Linked DNA regions of Oreochromis niloticus. The protein of the gene in region 1 interacts with the protein of each later gene in a pairwise test. Links are inferred from orthologs where the notes say so. Each region holds a gene or a part of one and is shown in the gene's direction. Other genes may lie near its edges. The genes, in order: clasrp and dab1b.

Region 1 (13,402 bases):
ACAGTCTCTGAATCAAAGACTCAAGGGAACCTAACATAATCTGGCCCAGAAAACTGCTGCCATTCAATATACTTTTAATAATGTAAATATGATTACTTACAAAGAATAAACATGAATGAGGAAAATGGAAAACCTGGCAAAAATAAACAAAAGAGGAAGAAGATCATGAAACAACCATACAAGGAGCCATCAGATTCCATTTTCCCCTAAACTAATATTAATAACCTAAAATAACAGAACCAAACTCGAAAACACGACTGCCCGTAACTCCAAACTCAAGCCATAATCAAAAGCAGCAGAACGACATCACCAGTGCTGCTGACGAGGATCAGGAGACGAGGTACTGAGATGCCAACCAGCAACCTCCGTGCTCCACCTTTTCTAGCTGTATATGCATGCCAGTGAGCCTTCTGCAGCCAATCAGAGTGAGAAACAAATCAGAGGTGAAAGCAGAAGATCAGAGGAAGATAATAGATGTGTGGTCGCACAGAGAGCGCGCATAACATCATATAACAACATATTTCAAAAGAGTAATCCAAAAAAGATTGAAAGAAAAATCGATATGATAGATTTAAAAAATGGGGATTTTAGAAATTTAGTCTTTATCAGAAGTTCATGTTACACAATGGTAAAATATGAATTTAAACCTGTTCCAGAAAGAGAAACCTGAATATTTACAGTGTTGAATGTGCTGCTAAGGTAAATGAAAAGCACAGTAACAAATGTATTATGCAGCTAATCTCAAGTTCATTTGGTTGGGGCGAGGCGCTGTCCACACATACGCTGGTATTCTGGTAAACGTATCTTTAGTCTATGGATTTTAGTCTTATGTCCACACATACAACAACTGAAATAAAGATTTAGATTTAGAAAGTTATCTGCTTTTATCTCTGTTTTGACATCAGACTGTGTGGTTTTATCGCCTGTAGCCTTCTGATTGGCCAACATTTATGTTGCATAGAACTCAATGTTGTTTCTTTTTCTTTTTCTTATGAATGGAGATATTTTACAAAACAAAAGCAGAAAATCATTTTTTTAAGTAATACATGGACACGGACCTGAGTATAAATAAAACATGTGATGATATCATGAACAAAGGTAGAACAAGCTTATAATTAAAAATAAAATACAGAATAAAAAAGTGGATTGAAAACTATAGACAGCACATCAGATGTTACTATTTATACCAGGAATAAACATGATTCTAGCATTTTAGCCCTATCAGAAGTGAAGTACATTAAAAAGTCCACAGAAGTAAAACTAAAACTTTTTAAGAAAAGCCAAACAGTAAATAAACTTTTTTTTTTTTTTATAATATTATAAAAACCTCTTGGCTCCAGATTGCTAGTTTAATGCCTACATTTGTTAACTTTAATGTGATCCTTGAAAATCTCAAATAATTAGGTAAAATAACAAATCTAAAATATTCAGGTTTATATATCCGGTGTCTTTAGTCTTTCAACTTTCAAATTCATTTTTGTTTGTTTATTTTTGTTTTTCAATCCCTGCTGAGCTACGGGAGAACTCATACTATTAGGAGGAAATTTTACACCAAAAAGTTTAAAAATGCTAAAACTTAAAAAAAATTCATTGGCTATAAATAAACATTTGAGTTTTAGCATTGAAAGTGAAGTAAGAAGAGATCTTTTAAAGATCCAATCAGAAACATCAGAAATTTCACTGGAGGTTAGAGAGAAGTGGATGTCTCCCTTAACTGTCTTATTGTTTTGTTTTTTCCAATATTTCAGGTCGTGTTGGACTTGTGCAATCCCAACCCCTGTCAGCAAGGCGTGCAGTGTCACATCATAGATGGCAGGAACACGTGCATCTGTCCTGACGGTTACTATGGTGACGAGTGCATGAGCCTCAAAAATCCCTGCATTGGTCACCACTGTCAAGGTGAGAGAAATACTTGTGCATCTTTAAACGTATAAAATCTTGATGAACCCTGGTCTGATCTTTCACGTCTCAACACCCGAAGGCGCCATGTCTGACTCAGCACACGGGGGCCTGAGCTTCTACATGATCCTGGTGGGAGTCTTAGCTCTGGTGACGGTCTGTGGCTGTGCCGCCTGCGCCTTCATCCTGTCCCACCTCCATCGGAAGCGGAAAAAGCAGCAGGCTGTCCCGCAGGAAGAAGGCATCAACAACCAGAGGGAGTTTGTCAACCTCATCAGAAACGTGGACCGTCCGGTGCCCCAGCTGCCCGCTGCCGCCCCTCTCACAAACCCTCCAGCTCCCGCCCCCGTCTCACGTTGCTACGAGGAGATTGAACTGACCCTGCCGCCCTCCCCGGCCCCCTCACACCCTTCCCCAGCACTAAAGCCAGCACATGCTGCCAAACTGGACATTTCAAACCAAGAGAGGGAGAAGTTGAACCGCCTCCACTATGCAGATAACCAAGAGCTGGAGGTCTGACCCCATGCTGACCTTTTAAAGCCCTGAGGAGCTGTTTTTTAAATTTACTTTGCGTCCTTAGCACTCTTTTGCTCACAGGACCCCGTCTCCAGTTACTTGCACTGTGTCGATGTTGCAGATATGAAAATTAAAGGTGACCCTCTGACCTTTATAAACAAAGATGGCTGTGCGCAGACACCAGAGGAACAAAGGCTGCTAAGCAGAGGGGTCGAAAGAGCGTCGTCGCCATCGTCTTTGGGCCTTCTTAATGGCCATGAAAAAGCAGCACAGGCATAAAGTTGAGCTGAAAGACTCAACAGTAAACTGAAAACCTAAAGACTTACAGACTTGCCTTTGAGTGCCTGTGAAACTGTCAAGAGTAAACAGAGGATCTTCCTCCATTTGAGTCCCGATACATTTCCTGTTCGGTGTTGCCATCTGACTGTTGTCCAAACCTCCACTGAACTCTGACAGAAAGGATCAGTGAACAGATGCCTATTTAACATTTTTTGTTTGTGTCTGGCTGTGTGTAAGTGTGTGTGAGAGTGAACGAAAGACTGGATATAATTAGTTTTTGTGAGAGGGGAAACATTTCACTCTGCTTAGAGTGAAAGTGCATCCTCCTGAACCAAAGGCTTGCAAGCCTCCTGAGAACATTTTTAAGAGTATACACTGATGCCTGTTTTGTCTCTGTAATACTGCAGTTTGCCCGAGATGTATGGTTTTTATCATACTTGTGTGTAACATAGTTGTTTTTGTACATAAATAGTATTGTACATATTGATGCCCTTTTTGTACTGTGATTCATTCTGGAAGTATCACTGTATTACTGTCCCCTGTTTTTCCCTTTATACTTTCCATTTGGAGCAGCAAGCACATGTGGAATGTAATAAAAGTGCATTTACCAACTCGATTTTATACCTTTTATTAAACTCCAGGGTTTAGTTGTCCAAAATAATCCCTGTGAGCCGAAAGCTTAGGCTTCAGACAGCTCTAAACCCTCCCTTCCAGACAGTTTTTCCTTAGGTCTGAATAATGAGAGGAAGAGCAGATAACTCTAACATGGTCAACTGCTGTTCAGCTCTTCTGTTTCTGAGGGGCAGCTAATCAGATGAAAGCTGGTATAAAGGGGGAGGAGCTAAAGATGACAAGATAAATTATTTAGGACTGTGAATAATGTAAAGCTGCTCTAGTCGATAATAACTCCCCAGTCTTCTCAGGACTCTCATTTGTACTCAATAATCACTACTACCCACTAAAGAGTTTCTAAATCCTTGAATAAAAAGCTATTTTCAGTTGTTCTGTTATTCACCAGTGGTCACTGTCTGTTTGATTTAGTTGATATTTTGCACCAGAAGCCCTCCCTGACACAACCCAAAAAGGATTGTGTCTCCTCTAATACCACTTTCTAATAATATGTAGATCTGCTCCATTTGTTAATACGGCCAAAGCAACAATATATCATGAATGCACAGTCCTTTGAAGATACAGAGATACTTTTGACCATAACCGTATATGTAACAAAAAGCATCCAAGCTTATTTTTAAGCTTTGGAATAGCAACATTAGTCTTAAATTACTTACATTTGTTTAAGAGTTATCAGTTCTTCTAGTTCCTTGTCTCCCTGTATGCATTTTTCAGATGTCACAACCAAGCTTTCTGTTCATAAATCACTGACAGAGTCCCATGAGAGGATATTTCATGTTGGAGCACAGGCACAATGACTAGGTCAGTAAGTCACCATATACACAGTGACTTTCACTATCTTCCTTTTCTTTCCCTGACACTCGTTGACAAACAATGATGCTGACGGTGCCAGGAAAATATGGGAGACCACCTGACTGACCCCAGCTTTCCTAAAAAACAAATGTGTGGCTGCAAAAAAAAAAGGAATAATAATAACAGTAAGTTTCAAGAGCAGCGGGTTTGTGCAAACTGCTGGTCAATAGCATTTAAAATGCTGGAAACACTGGCAAATATTTACTTAAAGTTTCTGGTTTTAATGGATCTACAATTACTGAAGTTACCTGTAACCATTTTTGCAGATATCAGACAGTCTATGTTGTCCTAAATCATTACAGTACAATTTTTCTGTAAACTGTACTCAAGTGCAGTTGTCTAAATCTGGGGTACACTTGGGTACTTCCAGATCCAGTCCTTTTTGGACCCATGACATGCCATATTTAACCTATTCTTTTTTTTCCCTTCCTTTCTGGAACTCTTCCCATATATGTGGCCTTTTTTTCTCTCTCGTGTGTATCTGTTTATTTGTTTGTTTCTTTACGCTGCACTGGTGTTATTGAAAATTTAAAATATATATATATATATATATATAAAAGATCATTACAGTAAAGCATGCTGTGTGTTACTAAAATATGATAAATTGCCAAGTGTAAGCGGCTCCAAGGTCACAGCATAGACATTTAATGTGCAAATAGATGTGACAAATGTGACCTCTGACCTGTGCAAACAACAGTGGGCTGGAAATGAACATGGTTTCCTGTAACCATGCTGGTCATGAGGAAATGTAGAGAATAGAGTTTACACACACAAACATAGACGTATATATATACATACATATGTACAGGCATCTTTCTGCACCTGCTGAGCAGGATGTCAAAGCCCAGCGTGCAGATTAGAAAGCTTCAGATTCAGCCAAGGGGTCACTGCCCCTCAGTGTAAAGGTGTTAAATGCTTGTCCTTATTTTCAAAGCACACTTTGCAGAGAAATAAAATACGAGTTAAAACAGACACACACAAACACACACCCTCAGCACAGTTATAGGTTTAGTAGCATTATAGACACTGAGAAATGTACCCGGGGCTCAAACCTTTAGCAGTTTTATGAAATGACAGAAGTATTTAGAAGTGATCCTGTTTTGACTTCAGTACTGTGATAATATGTTCAGATTTTGCTGTGTATGAAAGGACTCTGAATAAGCTAAGTCATCCTGATCGTTTGGATAATCCAGCAAATAAAGCATTACAGTAATTTAAACTGTAGCAATATAATCTCTCTGGTGTGTTCGGGGTCTGCCTCGGGGCCTCCTCCCAGTCGGACATGCCCACAACACCTCACCCAGGAGGCATCCGTGTCAGGTGCCCGAACCACCTCAGCTGGGTCCTTTCCATGCAGAGGAGTAGCAGCTCTACTCTGATCCCTCACGGATGGATCCAAGTTACTTTTCTGAGGAGCTGTGTGATTACAGCACATTGGAGAGATAAATTATATTTTTATAAATAAAACGTATTCTATATAATTTATTTATCCAGGTAAAAATCTCATTGAGATTAAAATGTCTTTTTCTGGAGAGACCTGTCCAAGAGGGAAGCATAAAATGATATAACAAGTAAAGGAGCAAATACAACTGATATTCAGAGACAAGTGAACACAAACGTGCAAAGCATTAACAGCACTCACACTGACCAAAAGATTTATTCTCTCATTCTTTTAAAACAGTCTTAAAATCCACAATCATATCCAGTTCTGACACTTTCAGCTCCTTTCTGACTCTGTGACAAATATCAGCATGAGATAAATAAGAGGAGTTAAAGATTCTTTATTATCATTTTGCAGTCACATAACGAAATGCTGCGTGGTAGCTCTCAGCTTAAAACACAGGCAGACACACAATGAATAAATACACATAACAGGGAAAGGTAATAATGTAGATACCTGATGTAAAGTTCAGCTGTGCAGTGGATGCCTTGGTCTTTTAATGCATGCGATGTGTGCGTGTGTGTGTGTGTGTATGTATGAAAATCAGCAACTCCAGAAGAGTTGATTTATACAGAAAAATGTGGTAGTTCAAATGAATATAAGAGATCTCCTTTAAGGATTTATTTTAGTGCCCATCCACATGTGCAGCTGATGCACTGACCCAAGGACACCTGGGTTTGTATTTCTGACAGGGATTCAGGAGAGCTTGACAACAAATACAAGAAAAACTAGAGCTTAAACGCTGAGTGACTCTCACTAGAGCAGCATTGATACATGTCCTTGTGCACATAAAGTAGTCATAGACTGGTACAGGGGCATAATACTTTGTAGAAAGAAAGATTAATTTAATTATTTTTAGCTGGATTACCACAAATGTTTTCACACACAGTTTGCCAATTCCTTGCAAGTGTCTCTATTTAACTGTGATAGCTTCAAATGTGCATATTTCCTGTCTAACAGGGACATCTTGTGGCCAAATACGGTGCACAACCTTAAAAACCACTGAGCCGTTTTTCATACTGAGTTATTATGTAACTTTCATTACGAAGCCAACAGATAATGTAAATAATATGCACAAACTTTCTTTCAAAATAAAACACATATATTATCCTGTTTAAGTTTAAGGAAGGCTTTTCGGAAAGACTCATCTTTGTGTTGGCATAAGGTACTGTTCAGTTTCAGCAATAAAAAGAACTACATTTATTCAAACTTTTAATTATCATAGCAAAGTATAAACTATATCTAAAAAGCCCAATTTAATCAATCTACATATCTATTCATAATTTTTCAAAAGGACACCGAGCATTGTATTAAAACCATCTGTGAATTTAAAAAAAAAGAAGAAGAAGAAAGCTGTCAAAATGTTTTTTTTATTTGTGATGCTTTGCATAGAATCTCCTCTGACTCTGGTCTGAGTTATCTGCTGTGAAGGTAGAAGTGGCGATTATTGTTTACTGTGTTTTATAATAAGGAGAATTTTTTTCAAAAGTATCTTCCCATTAATGTTACATACACACGCCTCCCCGCAGCGCCCTCACAGGCCAGAGTCGGTACTGCAGCCTGTTATATATATGCGAAGGAGGCGTGTGGTTACGCTCCACTCCGCTAACATCGCTTTTGGCCAACTGAAAACAACCCGTGTGTGTGTTGGCGATTAGTAAAACAGGTACACTGTGAGAATTTAGACCGCGCTGAGTACCCTGTACGGCCGTATGTGTAGTTTTCAGTGTTTCGTAGCTGCTTTTTTGACCACTGTTCCCAACGTCTTTGCAGATCAGCTAAGCTAGGCTAGTTGTGATGCTAACTGGTATTAAAAAGGCCCGGGCTGCATGCGCAGTCAGGCCCGTGTGTATGCTAACAAACTCCTACATCACTTTGATAACACGGATTTTTTTTAGCACCCGGCTGAATCTGAACGCTGAAAGTGGGGCGTAGACGGGTTAAAATAACCGTTTTAGAGGACAAACAGCGTTGTAATGTAACCGTATTAACTACGTAAATACTGGATAGAAAGCTATGTTAGCTTTTTAGCTTCAGACTGTTTAGCTACTGCTGTAAATTAAAAGTGTGTTTAGTGGTAGAAGATGCAGAGGTGACACCTTGATTCACAGTTACTGTAATTTCTGTGATGTACCAAAATCACATTTTAGGTGTTTGTTTTTTCCAGTGAAATTCATTTTATTTATTTTTTAAAAATATAAATCGGAGTATATTTGCTGTATTTGCTTGTTTGTGTTATTTCATTAATGTCCCTGTTTTAGCAAAATTGAGGACGAGGAATCTGCTATAGAAAAATATAATCCTGTCATTACTGCGGATATGAGCTTCGTCAAACACTCCGAGAAATGCATTGGAAGTGTATACACTGATGCAAATGAATGGCAAACGTATACCTTTTAGGTTTCGTTACACTGAATTTCCCTCACATGTCTAACATGACGTGTCACAACTTCAGTTTTAGGAAGTGACCAATATGCCTCAGTTTACTTATGAATAGACAGGCTACAAATATTTTGTGCATTCATGGCCGTTTAATCTCGGTATATGTCTGTTGTCTTGCTAGAAATTTAGACGTCACTGCGTGCCTTAGGTTGTCAAGTGTTTAACAAGGAATGTAGGTAACTATTGCATTACAACATTGCCTGTGTTTAGTGTGAAGCTTAAGACTGGGAATTTTCAGTAGTCTTGAGTGTTGATAGTGTGTTTGCAGATGTGCTGGTTGCACTCTGTAGTTGGTTCTGATCAGAGATATCAACTGTAATATGTAAGAGATACTTTCTGTCTGTATGTCAGTGACATGATGTGGAGTTCAGAGCTCTTGAAGTGCTCAGTTTATAAAGTCCACTATTTATTTATTTTTATTTATTTATTTTTCTTGCCTCTAACACCCTTAATCTCACTTTCCCCTGTCTCCCATGATTCTTGCTTGTTTGCCCTGAGTAGCAGCCGTGCCCCGCCGCGCCCCCACCCCTAGCGGAGCCGTCATGTGGCAGGAGGCCCGCAAACATGAGCGCAAGCTCCGTGGCATGATGGTAGACTACAAACGGCGAGGCGAGCGCCGGCGAGAGTACTATGAGAAGATAGTAAGAAACTTTATCATGTTGCATTGCCACAGTGTACCACCGGGTAGGAGTGAGCAGGTCTGGCCTGAACACTCTTACTGCAGGATTTTTAAAAAAGAAGAAAAGATTTGAGCAAGTTTATACCCAGTTATGTGGGTCCAAACTTTGTGGTATTTTTAAAAACATATGCATATAGTTGACACAGCTTTCAGTTATCCTCATTGCATCAATGAACCAGTTACTGTTTACAAAAAAAAAGTGTCAAGTTTTAGAAGTTAATTTCTATGGTTGTTGGTTTCAGTTTAATTAAAGTGCTGTGCAGTGTAACATTTCATAGTTTTAGATATTAATCAATGCATTGTATTCTTACGGTTTCATTTTCTTTTGACAGAAAAAAGATCCTGCTCAGTTTCTTCAAGTTCACGGTCGAGCCTACAAAATCCACCTGGATCCAGCTGTGGCACTGGCCGCAGAGAGCCCTGCAAACATGTGAGGAAAATCACAAAATCGACACATAATAAGAGATGAGCCACACCACAGAGCTTATGATCACATGTTGCCTCCTTTCTGTTGTCTGAAGGATGCCTTGGCAAGGAGATGCCAACAACATGATTGACAGGTTTGATGTAAGGGCTCACCTGGACTACATCCCCACCTACACGCCACCTCTGCTCACCACATCGTAAGTCTGAAAGTACTTAAAGCCACATTTTTAACATGGAACCCACGTTGTGTGAACATTTTATTGGTTATTTATTTACTTTTTCGTTGTATGATTCTACATGGGACAGTTGTGAGGAGATCATCACACATTCACCATATATTGTTGTACATATGCTGTACAGATTATGTATTCAACAGTTAAGATAGTTCATCAAAGAGGGCTTTCAAAAAATAACCAGTCATAATTTGGTATGGATTATGTTTTCAGTTTGTTATTTTTTGTTTTGTTTTGATTTGATTTGATTTGATATACCTTTATTAGTCCCACAAGGGGAAATTTCTTGTTAAGGCTGCCGACCTATTGCGCGCAATGGCGGCGCCATCTTACCCTCCGACCATACATACATTACACAAAAACATCACATGGGGAAGACAGGTCAGAGAGGTATAACAATGGAAAATGCACCACATGAGGAAAGATCAGGAGAAAAAAATAACTCCCCCCAGACTGAGCTCCAATGGGGAGATCAGATTGAGAGCAGAAAAAAAACACCTCTGCACATAGCACATGAAAAAACTCTTAATACACCAAAGTTTGTTTTTAATTATGTGGAAACATTTGCTCTTGTATGAGGTTGAGCTGATCTGACTTTAGTCGTCAAAGGAGATGGTGACCCCATTTTTTGTTTGTTTTAAGAAAAAAACCCAAAACAGGTCATTTTGTCACCTGCAAAATAGGCTAGTTTAATTACTTATATTATAATTTCTATAATAATAAAGCTAAAACACCTGCTGCAGTAGTCTGTAGTAGTAGATTTATGTTTTATTCCATTTCTCTAAATTGGGAAGCAGTTTGCAACTAGATGGATGTTTTATTGTCCATATTTAAAATTCGACTTTGACTCTACAAGCACAGCTTTAGTGCTTCTGGTGACCCGCTCCTAAGACAGTGGCAGGTGGGGGCTTTGACTAGGGCAGTACATCTGTCCAAACTGTAACGCAGGTGTCCTAAGGTGAGCTCAGGGAGGACAGAAACCACCTGTGGAGCAGAAGGGCAACAGCTTGCATGACCTTGATTCCCAGTATGAATACAGATTATTAAAATAGGTCCTCATGATCCTCCGGATTTCCTGGGTTTTAAACCTGTGGTCAGTAAGTGCTGGATTGTTGACCCGCTAATAGGAAAGTGAACTGATTTTTAGGCCGTTGTGAGACGTTTTAGTGTTTCCCTGCGGATGATGTGATGTTGTAGCAGTAATTCTGCTCAGTACGAGAGCAGTTGACATTATGTGTATGTCTTTGGCCAGTGGTGTGAAGCTGCCAGCTGCAGGATTGACTGAACACCTCTAAACAGGGGTGAAATAAGGTGTGAGCACAATCCTCAAATGCTGATCATAGCTGTGGTTAGTTTTACAGGTTCACTGTTTTCTAAACACAGGCACAGTCAGTCCATTTCAATAACAAGTGCCAAAAATAAACAGTGTTTGAAAACATTAACAAATCAACTTGTGGACTTGATTTAAACAGATTTTACACCTTGTGAAAGGAACTCCCAAAAGGCATGCGTGCTGCAACAGCATGATAGCAAATCTGGCCCTGATACTGTAGGCCTTTGGTTGGTTGCAGATAGCCGCCCATGGGGGTGAAGGAGAGCAGTTTGTGACTGGTCAGGCGGAATGCCAAATGATGGTCACCTCTCCCCAATCTTGGACTCGTGTTTGTGGAGAACTTGCTGCTAAATAACTTGTAAACATCCTGATTCATTTATCAACACACCACCAATGAGGAGACTTTATTGAAGATGGTTGCTGGGATGACCGGGTGGCTACTCTTAAAACTTTCTCTGATAAATACCCCTCCTATTACGTTATAATAATTTAAAAGACTAAAACTAACATTCAAAATGATAAAAACTAAACTAAAACTAAACATTTTCATAAAGTGAAAACTAATCTAAAGAATGCCAAGTGATTCTGTAAAGTGATGGAAAACTAAATAGAATTAAAGAATTAAAAACAAAATAAAATTTAATTTAAAAATGCTGTTTATAGCACGACTGTCTGTTTCGATCTTTATGTGTTGTAATGCTGATTACTTCACTGACTGCTTGTGCTGGTGCATTGAAACTTGTGGTAATAACCAAAGAGTGGCTTTTTAGTAAGACTTCTGGTTCTTACTCTGTGATAAAACACCTGCTGCTCAGTAATTGAACAGGTCATCTGTGAGATTGTATTTTTAGTCATCTTTCATGCTTGGTCAGGACACAAACCAGTTCAGTGTGGTGAGATTTGAGCATTCAGCGAGGTGTTTAATGTGACCAACAATCTTCTTTGTCTCATGCAGCACTCCAGAGCAGGAGATGGAGGAGAGAAAGTGTAACTATGAGCGCTACAGAGGCCTTGTACAGAATGACTTTGCCAACAGTGAGTGTTAACACACAAAATCTACATGACTATGTAATGCGCTTAATAGTGTTGCACCTGTATTCTTAATGTGACCATGGCAGTGTGTTGACCTGCTCTCAGTGGGTATATTTTGCAGTTGTGTTGTGCTCTTTAAATCCCTCCTGTCCTCCTGCAGTCTCTGAGGAGCAGTGTTTATACCAGATCTACCTGGATGAGCTCTATGGTGGTCTGCCCAAACCAAATGAGGATGAGAAGAAAAAGTATGAACTAAATTTTAAAGTGGTTCTTTATCACCACTGTGAAATCCAGTATTTTAAGTTGTTTTCATAAATCTTTCCTTGTGTTGTGCAGACTGGCTGAGAAGAAGGCCACCATTGGTTACACGTATGAAGACAGCACTGTAGCAGAGCCTGAGCCCCAGTCAGACAAAGAGGAAGACAATTCAGAAAACAGTGAATCCGAAGATGACGAAGGCATTCCAGATATCGGTGAGCATGTTTCACTGGAGTAATCTATGTGTTAGGGAAGTAAAATTCAGGAGATGACCAAATAAAACATTTAGAGGCACAGCTGTCCACAGAGAATGTGTTTGATCAGCTTTTCGTCTCTTGGATATGTGAGAGTTATTCCACAGAACGTTTCTCAGAAGAGACTAAAATCTGAAATTGTCAATTTGACTGTGCGAGCTGGATTTGTTACATCATTTAATGCAGTGCAGGCTTCAAATGGCCAGATACACATCTGTGTGGCTTCAGACTAACCCTGAAAATGGACTTCAGCGAAGGAGAAATGTCACATCCCAATGAGAAATTAATGCAGTTAAACCAAGCTATTTAACAGCATGTAAAACGCTAGTTATTGAGAAATAACACTAGTTATCTTACACTGTACCTGGAGAAGATTGTCTTTATAAAAGTGATCCACTCAGCTGGCACTGCTCAACTTTATTTTTCTCTTTTCTGCCAGGTTGCAGGTTTTTCTTGGTTATGTGATAATCGTGTTTTAAATGCTGTTAACCGACGATCTGATCTCAGATCAACAGTGTTCCTGTTTAATGCTTGGGTAAGAAATCGACTTGTTAAAAAATGGTGTGTGTGTGTGTGCGTGTGCGTGTGCGCGCGCACTTTCAGATGTGGAGGTTGATGTTGATGAGCTGAACCAGGAGCAGGTGATGGACCTGAACAAAATGGCAACGCCATATGGAATGGCTGAAGGAGACTTTGTCAGGTAACATGTCATTAATCACATCATGATGTCAGAGTCGAACCCAAAGCAAATTTCTGAAGAAAAACGACGCCCAGTGGTTCCTTAAATTTTAATTAGTGTCTTGACCAAAGTAGAGTTAATGTAGCTTTTTTAAAATTCAGTTTTTTTTTCTTTTCAGTTTTTTCAAGTTTTTAGTCTTTTTAAGTATAATTATATGGAGGGCATATCTCAGAGGTGAGATTTAGGAAAATCATTTTAGGTATTATAATAAGAAGAGAACTTTTTGAACGTTCAGTTGACTCAGTGTTTTAGACCAAAGTCTTATTAAACATGTCTGAATCTTTAGGGAAGTTGTGATAAATTTTACCAAAAAACTGTTTTCAGAAACAGTATTTATCTAAATATTTTTTCAAATGTAGTTGTTTTTTTGTTTGTTTGTTTGTTTTGTG
Region 2 (12,354 bases), on another chromosome or scaffold:
CACGCGGCAGGCAGTGTGGGAGGTTTATTTCCAAAAGGGGAAAGGCACAAATTTATCTGTGGTTCCCTTTGGTCCTGTATTTGCTGTCTGCAGTTAGTCCTTCTCTGATGCATTGCTTTAAAAGGCATCAGGGAAACCCGTCTCTCTCTCTCTCTCTCTGTGGATTCAATTGACACTAGTTTGTGTGTCTTGGGATTTTCGGCATGTGCAATACACACACACCCACACACACGACCTAAAAAAGCATATCCGCGCACACTCTGAGCCACACGAGGTGGAACACACATACACAAACACACCCCCTCTATGCAGCGCAGTAAATACAGTGATTTTGGCTCCATTTTCTCCAGGGTGGTGACAAGTCTTCCCCCCCCCGCCACATGGTTGAAATGAAATCCAATTATATCCGTAATGCCTCTTCAACTGTTCTTCTGCTTTGAAGGAGTCAGCTTCCTTGAGTCACCACTGCTGGACCCGAATGTGCTCGGCAAACCAGTGATGCGCAGTGGTGCAAATGTGCAGTGGAGACAGATGTATTGCGTGTGTGTGTGTGTGTGTGTGTGTGTGAATTAGCGGCAGAATTCTTCTGTTTAAGTCAACTATCATTCAAAAGTGACTTAACTCCCCGCCAAACTTTGTTACTCCGGTAAGTGTGTCGCGTTGTTAGTGGGAATGGCTGTCTATTTGCATATTTTAATTAAATAGCAGGAATTTAGAATTAATCACTTTCTAAATTTATGGGCTAATTATATGGTTTTTGTCCTTGACATGTCAGCGTCACCCACCCGTGAATAAATTCATCACGGCCAAAGTTACGCTGACACCTGCAAACTTTGCTTCCTTCACTTACCCCTCAATTAGCCTCTTTTATGCTCTCTTCTGACACAATAAATCACATACTGTCACATTGTCTCTGTCATAGCGCCCCTGTGACAGCCCGATCGCGGAGATGAGTGGGCGGAAAATGCACGTACGGTGTGTGCGCATGTGCCCACGCATGTGCACGTAAAGCGACTTCTGAACACCCAGTGCACTGGCTAAAACAAAAGTAAATAAATAAAATGAAATACAGGCCCTCTTTGATAAAGTGGACATGGACGAGGTCTCGCATGTTTCCATGCGTCCCTCCCCAAAGGAGATGCTGTGTGCTTGGGGTTGCCGATTGAGCAAAGAGCACATTGTGTTACTTTTTCACGAATAGCGCTTAAAATGACATGAAAGGGAGATCACCCTTTTGTCAGTTTAAAGAGAAAAGTGATCAAACTTGTGCAGATGAGGCTATTAAACGTGCACAGCTTAGTTTGTATGTAAACACGTGACATCTGCAGTGTCTGCGCTTCATTTACGCATCATTTGCACACAGCAAACAACCAAATTGGTGCTTGATGTGCACGTCTCCCCGCGCTGTATAATGTCGTGAAACAACAAGAACTCGGCGGGGGATGCAGAAGCAAGAAAAAGGAATGCAAATGGCCCAGAGTGGAGCCAAATTTCTGCTACAGTCAAGATGTTCACCGCAAATAAGTGACATAAGATGTGTCTGCACGCTAGCCTGTATCCGAGCAGTGTACAGAGGCAATGTATCCACATTGCGCTTTTAATTAAGAATGCGAGTTTGGCAGATGGGTGTAAATCCAAGTTCCTTTTCCAATCCAAAATGCAAACTGGCACTTGTCATTGTCCATCTGCTTTATTTCCTGTTCTTGGGATTTAATATCAGCGGCTAATAAACCCTCACACCTTGAGCTTGAGCTCCGACCATGTGTATCCTCCACGCTGAAGCTAGACTAACTGCTTCCATGCTGCCACTTGTTATTCTGCATACAGTATGCTCCAGTGTGGTTCAAGTGATGGCTGGATATAAATTCCAGCAGCATCACAAAAATCCTCAAATCCCCGCTACCACCCCACCCATTCACTTCACTGCTGATAGTTTAAAATTCAATATTCACGCACGGTGGGAAAAAAATAAAAAATCCAAGGTTAGTTAGAAAACACAGACGCCTTGTTACACTGACACTAATATAAAGCTACGGTATGTAGATCTTCTTTCGACCTAGATAGAAATCGAAGATGGGGTTTCATCTTCACAAATTAGTGCGTGCATCTGGATTTGCATGGTCTGATTATTTCAAGATTTATCAGCAAGATTTTCTCCAGACCTCTTTGACCTTGAAAAGACAGCTGCTCCGGCTGCATGAGATTAACAAGCCGGTGTTGTGGTGTTCTTGGTTGAGAAACAAAAATGGCTTAGAGCAAGACAACAAGGGTAAAGGTGTGGCACGATACTGAAACAAAGTTAAAGCCCCCCTGAGCATCGGCACTGCATCTGTTCAGTTGCATGAATCCTAATGCTGATTCACTACCTTTTTGTAGCTTTTCATTTCTTGACTGCTGCTTCAAGGTCACAACACTTAATCCTTTGAGACTGAAGGATCAGTTAATATTAAAGCAGTATTAACTGATTTTTTTTTTCCTGTTTGTTTTGAGCAATATAGGGCAGTGGAGCAAGCTGTTTTCAGCAATGACATAAAACGTGGATATGTCACAGATGTTAGCAAACAGCTGCCTTTTGAAAGCACACAAAATTTAATTTGGAGACATGCTGGCATGCAAATGTTTCCGCTCAAGCCAAAGAAGAAGTGCTTGAAGAGCATTTCATGCCTCCCATTTCCCCATGTGGTCTCAGCATGATCGTGTTGAATAGGACCATACTCAGACCACACTGACTCGGTATGATCTCAGTCAATAAGTTATGATTTTTAAAAGTTTCTGGGTCTACATTGATGGACAGTTGTGGACTTGAACAAATAGTCGACTTGCATGCATTTCCATACCATACTTCCCAACAGAAACACATTGCACTACTTCCAAAGACATGCTAACTACCACAAAACAGAACAAAAAACCCAAAAATACTACTATAAAATGATATTAGATTAGAGGATGGATGAGTCCATTAACTGTTTAGGAAATACAGCCATTTTTATGCACACTTTCTCATGTCTTTATGCGTTCAGTCTTGTATTTAATAACTCTATCGGGTTGAGATCCAGTGACTGACTTGGCCATTGAAGAATATCCCATGTCCTTCCTTTGAGAAACTCCTGGGTTGCTTTTTTCCATATGCTTTGGCTCATGATCCACTTTTGTGACATGCTGTCTGATCACTTTTGAATCTGAGCAGAGAGTGCAGCACTGTACACTTCACAATTCATCCTGCTACTTCTATCAGCAATCACATCATTAGCAGCCATATCTTCCCATGCCATATTACTGCCTCCACCGTGTTTGACAGATGATGCGCTATACTTAAAATCATGAGTTGTTTCTCACCGTCTCCATGCTGTTGTCTTCCTGTCATTTTGGTTATGCATAAATAAAAGTATGGTTTCATCTTTCCAGAACTGTGTCAGCTCTTCAGATGTTTCTTTTAGATTTTGCTTTTCATTTCAAAAATGTACCAAATTCTTGATATATTTGTATAAAAATGGCTGTAATTCCTAAACAGTTAATTCACTATTTTTATAAACCCACTTCAATTAAACTTCAAAGTCTCGCCTTCAATCACACCATGGTTTTTTGATTCAAAATCCACCGTGAAAGCGTGCAGAGGCAAAACTAGAAAAAATGTGCCTTTGAGCAAAAAACTATTGACCTAACTACAGTAGCAGTGCAGTCCCAGCTCATCTACACAATAATTGATAGTCACATTGAACAACTTGCTCATTTCCTTCAATAATAAATATGAGCACTACCACAGGTGTTCTGTCTCAGTCCCCTGAGAAGTGTGCCCTCTAGACCCACAGCCGATGGAGTACATCATGATTACCCGTGGTACCGGAAATGAAGTGGCCCGGGGTGAGAGCGATAAAAGGAGTGGAACTTCTCAGCAGCCGGAGTAGTCAGAGTCAGGGGTCACATGTCATTTATCGATGTCAGGCTTTGCCCCGCCGTGCCTCTCTGAATGCTAATCGCTCACGCTCTGCTGTGACAATACGATTAGACTTGATTAAAACAGTCTATTAGCATAGAACCCACAGGCTGGGCAAACATCCTTCTTTCCTGGAAAACATGCTCACTCTGAGTGTCAAAACTGCAACTGACTGGACGTGCACTTACTGTTCGTGTTTTTGGCAACCTTCATGCCCAGAATCAGAGGCAAATCAGCACTCTGTCTGTACAATAACCTTTTTCTTTGTCCTTGAAATACATATCGTGACCCCAAAGCTGCCGCTCTGACTAAAACCGGGAACTAATTATTGATCAGCTTTCATGCTGAGGTTTTGCAAGGTAGCCACCAGTTACCCATCTCCCCTTAGGGAGCTGACTAATCAGGGTGCGGCGATGAGAATTTTGACTTAACTAATCTCTGGATTGAATGGAGATTAAACGCCACGTGGGCTGACGGCTCTCCTCTTTGTCTTTTTTGTCTGGACGGGGATCTGTTCTCCTTATCTTATCACCCTGCCTCATTTCTCCAGGGCAGTTCCCTGCCGTTATCAACGTGGCTCCATCTACATGGAAATCAAAGCCTTTCCAGAAGTGGAATACGATTAGGGAGGGGGAGAAAAGTCTAATCTTTCCCCTTTTGGTTCATGCCACCAAAAAACCTATGATGAGCCGAGCAAATGAACAACAAACACTCCCTGTTATTCTTAATTTAGGGACTGCGTGTGTATTTGCCTAAAGAGAGCCTGTGGAGAGGGGTTTGTTAATGCTGACTGGTTGACAATGGTTGGGAACAGGGAATTGGGGAATTGACAATGGCTGCAGTGGACCCTTTAATCATTTGTAACTCTCAGTTTCACTTCAGCTCTTTATATAACTTCACTCTTCTCTGTGGATGACTGACTGGCCATCAGTAACACAAACAATAGTTGCCCACAGACCAGTTGTACCACATATTTTTGACATTGCCCCCATCTGATAACATGTGCTTGCTGCAGGTGGACATTCAACCCACAGCTGCCAATGCGTTACCACCGCTGAACCATAATTTCCCCTTTACAGTGGAGGTGGATGGATGGGTGAACAAGGTGGCACAAAAGTGACGAGTTCCTGCGTAACTGCGAAGCATTTCATCTGCGAGGCTCCTTTTTGTCTCTGGGCCTTGGAAATGAGGATTAACTCTCGCCTCACAGGACACAGCTGCCTGATTCCACTCCTGACACTGACCTCCTTTGTTTCTTTTTAATGACCAAAGAGTAGATGACTGTGTGTGTGTTTGTGTGCTTGTTTGTGTGTGTGTGTCCAGTAGCAGGGGTGTCCGATAAAGAGAGGGAGGTTTACAGAGGGGATTAAAACCCAAACAGCAGCTTCCCTCCCTGGTAAACAAAAGTACATGGGGATGTGCAGTGTGTGTGTGTGTGTGTGTGTGTGTGTGTGTGTGTGCCACTGCTCGTGACACCAGACAAAAAGAGGAAGACTGAGTCCATCTGTGAAAGCAGCAGGATTAAGCTGTGCTCAAGCCAGGAGCTACACGTCAATCAACCACTAAGTGTTTGTGCGTGTTCTTGTGCCAATGTGCATGTGCATATGTGTGTGTGTGTGTGTGTGTGTGTGTGTGTGTGTCACATGCACAACTGTACATCCACATACATGTGCTCTTCTGATCCCACAGCGAGGACCCCAACTTTGCTGAATTCGTTCGGAATCTGTGGGATGGAGCGAAGCCAGCGATACGTCAGTCACCCAACAAAAAAAAAGAGACAAACTTTATTTTTTGTGAAATGTGTGAACTCAGTTGGCACCCGAGCATGAATCGTATGTGGCTGACATCTCCCTCAAACTGTAATGTGGGATGAAGAAGATGCTTCAAAGTGCTTCAAAAACAACTTTGACAACAAGACGGCTGACAAAGTAACTAAACAATAATAATAAAATAACATAAATTCATTCTGCAGGAATGTTCTACATCATGAGCGTGCAGTCAGTCCCCCCAACACAGGTCACCCCCTCTCAATGGTTGCTGGTGCTCTGTCTGTCTTTGAGAAGCTTGTTGTCTCCCTGTCAGGACCCCCGACTGTTTGCCCATAATGCACCACCACTCCTGCATGGCACCCTGTGAGGGGTGGTGGTGGAGGGCAAGTCTGAAGCCTTCAATGCGCAGGCCACAAAGACCAAAGGTAGGCGTGTGCTTGGAGAGGTGGGGGGCTTGACCTGGATGTTCCTCAATAAAGGACCTTGAAGGCAGGGGGTCATTACGCCTGCATGAGCCGGTGAGCGAACCTGGCTTTCTCCCCTTGACAATCTGAAGGGGTAAATTAAAATCAATACAGCCTATGATGAGGCGACTGCAGTGAGACAGGGGTGAGGGAAGGTAGGAGGTGGGGGACAGAGAGAGAGAGAGAGCTTGGACTTGATGGATGGCTGGTTAAAGGGGGATGATCAATTACCCTGATGGATTGCTTTTTGGGGATCTCTGAAATGAGACGGATCTCTGCTCTTTAAAGGCAAATTCAGAAGGAATGGAGGCTCCACTCCAGTTTGCATGAGAGCCCTGCAAGGCAGGAATATTATTCACTTACATCTTTGTTGTTGTGAGAAGTGGCAACTGGTCCCTCCTCCTCTCCAGAATCCTTTATTTTTCGAAAATGTTTAATCCCCTTCGTCCCCTCCCCCCTCCACACATTCTCCCTCCAACGGATCCCCTCTCTACATTATTCTCTGTGCATTTTAATTTTTTTTCCCTTCTTCTGTCACCGGGGGCCCAGTTTTTCCCCGCCTACTCTCCTCATTTAAGCTTGAAACTAGAATACTCGAGCCAAGAAATAGTTAATCTCTCCGGCTGCTGCTATGATTGGCCGCTGTATGCAGCGCTTCAGCCTCCTTGAATGAGAAATAGGGGTAACCAAGCAACTTCAGTGCTGGAGAGAAGAAGATAAAAAAAGCAAAAAGATGATAGGGCTTTACGGGATTTTCACAATGATGGAAGAATTTTGAAGCTGTTAACAGAAGAAAGAAAAAAAGAGGCAGAGGCAATGTGATTTCACCTTGAGTGTCCGGCAAATGGAATTAACAAATGGATTTTCTTAAACGCGCTTCCTCCCTCTCTCTCCCTCTCTCGCTCATTGAGGGGGGGAAATAGAGCGCTCAAATGAAGGAGACACAGATGTGGATTAAAACGCACAAATGGGACACTTCAGAAAAGCATCCACTGAGAAAAGGTGAGTAACATCTCAGCTTTTCTTTCTTTTTTGGGAGGGGTGTGCGGTGAAGAGGTGCTTCAGCATTAAACTGTGAAACTACAGAGCTGTTTAAGGATGCAAGGCAGCTCAGCGACATGTCAAGATTTATGGATAGGATGCGTTGAATGAAAATGGGAACCAGTCCGCTGTGGATGACCGGGATACAAACACATACAGAGTGAAAAAGAAAGAAAGAAAAAGGGAAAGAGAAATAAATGTGATCATGAAGCTGTGAACCTGATCGTCGGTGCTGCTTTGATGGATTTGAATGTGGAGTCCGCTGAAGCGCAAACGCCGGTTGCCTGTCAAATAACCCGCTGTCCCACGTCGAATTGCGCATAAATTACAAAGTGACGTTTGGGTTTTGATTGTTTTTAAACGATTTCAGCGCGTTAGCTGCTCACGGGGGCTTTTGGCTGTGGGATTTCGTGTAAAGGAACAAGTGTGAGAACAGGCGAAATCTTTTTTTTCTTCTCCCCACCACGTCTGTTGCTCTCCCTCCCTCCACAAATATTCAAATGAAGAGATGTTCTGCTGCAACAGCAGTAAGTCATTCTCAAACGAGTGCGTGTTAGCCCGCTCCGATGCTGAGCGAATGGATGAATGATGACGCATATGTTGATAAATGTATTGATTTCAGTGCGGAAGCGGTCAGGGAATGCTCGGTGGGCTGCAGTAGTAGGGGCTGAGTACCTGTGGATGAACGGTTGGATGGGAGCGCACAGCGCACAACGGCGCCGGTCTGTCCGGCAGCGGTGAGCCAAAATGTGCCAGAAAAACCAGTGCGTGGGCCTTCAGTGTGAGTCCTCCGGTCAGCAGCGACGTTCGTGGGTCAGTGTGGAGGTGGAAGCATTCCAGTTAGTCTTGGAAGACGTGGATGAGGTGGGTGGGGGGTAGCGTGAGACACGACTTCCATTTGCGTCATTTAAAATTTTTTATTTTATTTTTTATGTTGATTTTTAATATATGTCTGGATTTGTAGGACTTACTTGTGTTGTATAAGCATGGCTAAACTTTGGTTATTTTATTTTTGTAAAGTCTGCTATCAATCTTGGTTCTATATTTAAAGATAACCCTAGACAACAAGGTGCATCCCTGGTCCACAGGCATGTCTTTATTAATTAAAAAGAACCACATATAGACAAAATATAGTTTTTTGTGTTAAATCATTCAATAGAACAGGCTGCTGTCCTGGCTGTTTATTATTTTGTTTTTCATAATCATAACCTCTCAAACCCAAACCCCCTCCCCCTTTGGGTAAAATTGAATTGGAGCCAATGTTACCAGTTCAAATGCAAAGTTCATTACTGGACCATATGTCAGTCATGATGCTCTGTGTTTTCTACATGGGTGCTTGTGTGAGAGCAATCGTAAATGATGGGAAATGAGCATTGTAGTGGAAATGTAGTAACACAGCAGCCATCAGCTACAGACCAGGGTGCTGCTGAAACACTGTGGCTCACCTGCATCTTGTTTATGTCGTGGTTTGGTGGGATAAAAGTGAAGGTCTGGGGCTAGGATTCTCACGCTGGTGCCAAAGTTCACTGGCGATTTCTGCAAGTCGCCCAAACTATCCTTCGTAATCTCCTTAGTGAGGATGCTCTGCAACAGAGCCTAAGCTGTGCTCAGTAGCTCGATCGTGGGATGGATGTGTTACCACTCACACACACACATGCTACAATTTCCAGTTGTCACCCCCAGACATTTCTTTGCAGCCCAGTGTGAATTGTGAGGCTTAAGATAGAGCTCAACAAAACACTAGAGAGCATTAACTTCTCCAGTAAGGCCTTCTTTGTTGGGTCTCCCAGTGGAATCAAGGCGCTTCATTTAGCTCCTGAAAGCGAAAGCAGCCGGTGCATATGGTGGATATAGCTTATCCAATTAAGACCATAATGAATTTTCCCCTTTTGCATTTGGAGGAAAGGTGGTTTGGGTATTTCTTCTCTGTATTAACTCTTCACGATTGCATTGCAGCAGTGTTGGAGCAATTTCAGCTTGTTGTTTTTTTGCACTTCTTAAATCTTTGGGCTTTTTCACCCCTTTGCTGTACCGTGCCACACTCTGCTTCTCTTCTTTTGTTTCTGCTGAAAGCCTGGTGGATTATCGCATTTGTAGTTTCTCTTCATCTCGCAGCGGCATTACCTCAACGTGAACTACCAAGTGTTCTGAGGTAATGCGTCTAACGAACAGGGCCTCGCATTGACACTAATGCAAAGTTTCAGACTCAGACACACGACTCCTGGAGTGGCCTGAATCTTTTATAAAAAAGTAGCTTTAATGAGCAAGATTGTGCCTGAGTTCTGATTTTTGCTGGCGGCCTTATCACATTTAGTCTGTTCATTAATAAAGATGTGGCCCCTGGCAGAGGCAGGTCAGGGGTGACCTCGCTTGCCGGAGTTGAACAAAAAGGGGGAGATTGCTCCGATAGCGGTGTATTGTAGAAAGCTGAATGATGCACACGTTCGCCCCCCACCACCACCCGCCACCCTCCTGGGAGTGTAATCACCATGACAGGTGCAGGGAAGGTTGGGGCAACTTAATGTGTCAGAAGCAAGAACTCAGACTACATGGTGTGAAATCAAAGAGCAAAACAGCTTTCCATTTTACAGGGTGCCATGTGCTGCACTAGGTTTTGGGATGAGTAACTTTGTTGAGTTTACATCAGCAAACTGGCACCATCTTGAAGTAGTCCAACACAACCCCCTATTAAATTGTTTTGTTTTCTGTTAATTTGATGAACAAACAAAGTGCTAAATACTAAACTTTAAAGGTATTGGAAGGAATAGCAAGTATAAGTTGATTGCCATATTACACCGTGGAATCTGTCAGTATCCCACATTGACCTGACAATATGTCCATTTTTGCTGTGGTCAGTTGGTGGAAAACACAAACTTTGAGGGGAGGACACATTTTGTAATTTTCTTGGGTCAGAGTTTTCATGTTGTTGTTTCTGTATTAAAAAATCATACAATATTAGGCATTTAAGATGGACTTTTATTAAAAAGTTGAAGGTAATAGCTTTGATTTGAATCAGTTCTTCACTACCCAACCAAAGCCATTTGGTAGCTAGGTCTCACTGTTACCCTGTGGTTGATTCTTTGTTGACAGAATGGTTTTTGTTGAGCCATAAACCAAAGGGAGTATGACTTTGTTGTGTTGTCTGCTAAAACTGATCTCACAAAGACTTTATCCCTGAAAAACAGAGGTATATGTTTGTCATGACTGACTTGTGTGATGCTGAGTGATGTATAGGCTTGCTAAATCACAACAAGCAACCTTAAAATGGAGATCCCAGAAACTTTCCTTACCTGGTTGATCGAGCATGCATAAGGACTTAAATGGAGACCAGTGAGTTTGATACTGATGCAGTTAATTTTTCTTCTCACGTTTACACTATTGCTCTGGTTACCTGTGGGAAAATCTTGCAAAAAACCCCAAAACTGTTTGTCTTTTAAAAGATATAGAGAACTTCTGGCCTTTTTAAAATTATATCAGTGATACATCAGTGGAATTTGTTCTCTGTTGTTTTAGTGGCTTTAATAAAAGTGATATCGTTAAAGCACTGAGAATACCTTAATTTCACTGCTCATAATACACAATAATTATCACTTGTTTAAATTCACAATTTAATTACAAGGTGTAATAGATGGTGTTCATTTCTAAATTTACATTTAGAAACACCATTGATAACTATCAGGACAACCAACCCCAGTTGGTTTTCACAAGGTGTCATTGATGGTTAATTACTGTGTGTTACAATTAATTGCAAAAATGAAAAGGATACCCATGTTTAGCTAGCACCTTAAGCTCTGATTTAACAAAGGAATAGTTATTGAAAGCTATTCAATGATCAGCAATTCATGCAAGACCAAAAAGTGTAGCAACAAATCCTGGTCTACCCTACTAGCTGTTTGGCTAATGAGGAACTTGGATAGCACCACAAAGTAGTGCCTTCCTTTTTTGTTTTATAGTTGCAGAGTTGAGAGTTGCATATGGTCACTAATAGAGATTCATTCCATCCATTGTTGTGACTAACAAAGAACAAAGCACGAGTATTTAAGTCTTCATTCCCGCGCCAGATAAACTTCTGTGCTAACAAGCTAGTGTGCAGCCAGTGGAGCCAAGCTAAAGCTAGCTGTTGCTGTTTGGTTTGAATCTTTATGCTAAGCTGAGCTCACAGGCTGCTGGCTCCAGCGTCTCATGCAGTTTAAGGTCATGTTGCCCTTATTGATTTTTTCATCTAACTCTCAGCATGAAAGCTGTTTTTAACGTCCTCTAGGACAGCCATCCTGCTAAGAACCAAAATATCCAGCTTGGACAGACTTCACATCAGCAATATCATGGTAACAGGACTCGCTTATTGAACAATCTCTCAGTAGCATCAGCAAGCAGTCATGCAGAATATAAAATGCGAAACTGAAACTGGAAAATGTTCAAATGAAAATACTCTTTTTGGACCTGTTTCAGTATAAAAAATTGGAAATAGTCCACACTTTACATCCTCCACAGGACAGAGGCTGTACTGCCTTGCAAGTTTCTGTCTTTCGCTTCATAAAGAGTATCTGAATGGAAAATCTAATTCTGTTTATGCCTTATTAATACATATGTTAAGTTGTTTCCAATTAAGCTATTATATCCAAAATTAAACAAAGGCTGAAGATATTAAGCAAATAAAACCACTCACATTTGCAAACAATCAAACTTATAAACTTCTCCATCCAAAATGATCTCATTGTAATTCAGACAATTGTAGATAAATATGTACATTCTGCAAAAACAGCAATCAAGTACTGCTTTCCTAACCTCATGTCACTTATCGCACTGATCCTGTTGAGCTGATAATGAGGCACTGACCCTAACGCTATAAACGGTTTCACTGGAGTCAGATGGGGAAGTGAATTACCAGTCCGTCATACAGTTATTCCCATTGTGCAGAGGCGGGTGGCTAGTAATCCCTGTGCCTTGGCCTGTAACATCTGGTGAGTGAGTGAAGTGTTCAGTGTGAAGCCAGCAGTGTCAGCCTGCCTCCTCTGTTCAACCGGGGCAGCCATCACTGCCCGCTTCACTTCCAGAGGACTGGGCAACTTCAATGCATCAATGACACCAGCCATCACAAGGGACATGTAGCATGCCAAACCAATGATTCATTAGGACTCAATTAGCT

Evidence for each region.
Region 2: the proteins of clasrp (region 1) and dab1b interact in a two-hybrid assay, tested with the Homo sapiens proteins (2 studies listed by BioGRID and IntAct). The link is inferred for Oreochromis niloticus from reciprocal best matches to the Homo sapiens genes CLASRP and DAB1.

The regions. Positions count from the first base shown.
Region 1 is NC_031979.2:23,407,777-23,421,178, forward strand, and holds the start of clasrp (CLK4-associating serine/arginine rich protein), read left to right. Parts: upstream 1-7,130; 5' UTR 7,131-7,283; intron 7,284-8,560; 5' UTR 8,561-8,601; coding exon 8,602-8,700; intron 8,701-9,070; coding exon 9,071-9,168; intron 9,169-9,259; coding exon 9,260-9,361; intron 9,362-11,685; coding exon 11,686-11,765; intron 11,766-11,922; coding exon 11,923-12,007; intron 12,008-12,098; coding exon 12,099-12,235; intron 12,236-12,877; coding exon 12,878-12,974; intron 12,975-13,402. Other genes in the region: protein jagged-1b, read left to right, coding at 1,749-1,899, 1,982-2,418. UniProt on the Homo sapiens protein: Probably functions as an alternative splicing regulator. May regulate the mRNA splicing of genes such as CLK1. May act by regulating members of the CLK kinase family.
Region 2 is NC_031982.2:8,795,999-8,808,352, reverse strand, and holds the start of dab1b (DAB adaptor protein 1b), read left to right. Parts: upstream 1-6,717; 5' UTR 6,718-7,169; intron 7,170-7,799; exon of another isoform or gene 7,800-8,072; intron 8,073-12,354. UniProt on the Homo sapiens protein: Signaling adapter of the reelin-mediated signaling pathway, which regulates the migration and differentiation of postmitotic neurons during brain development.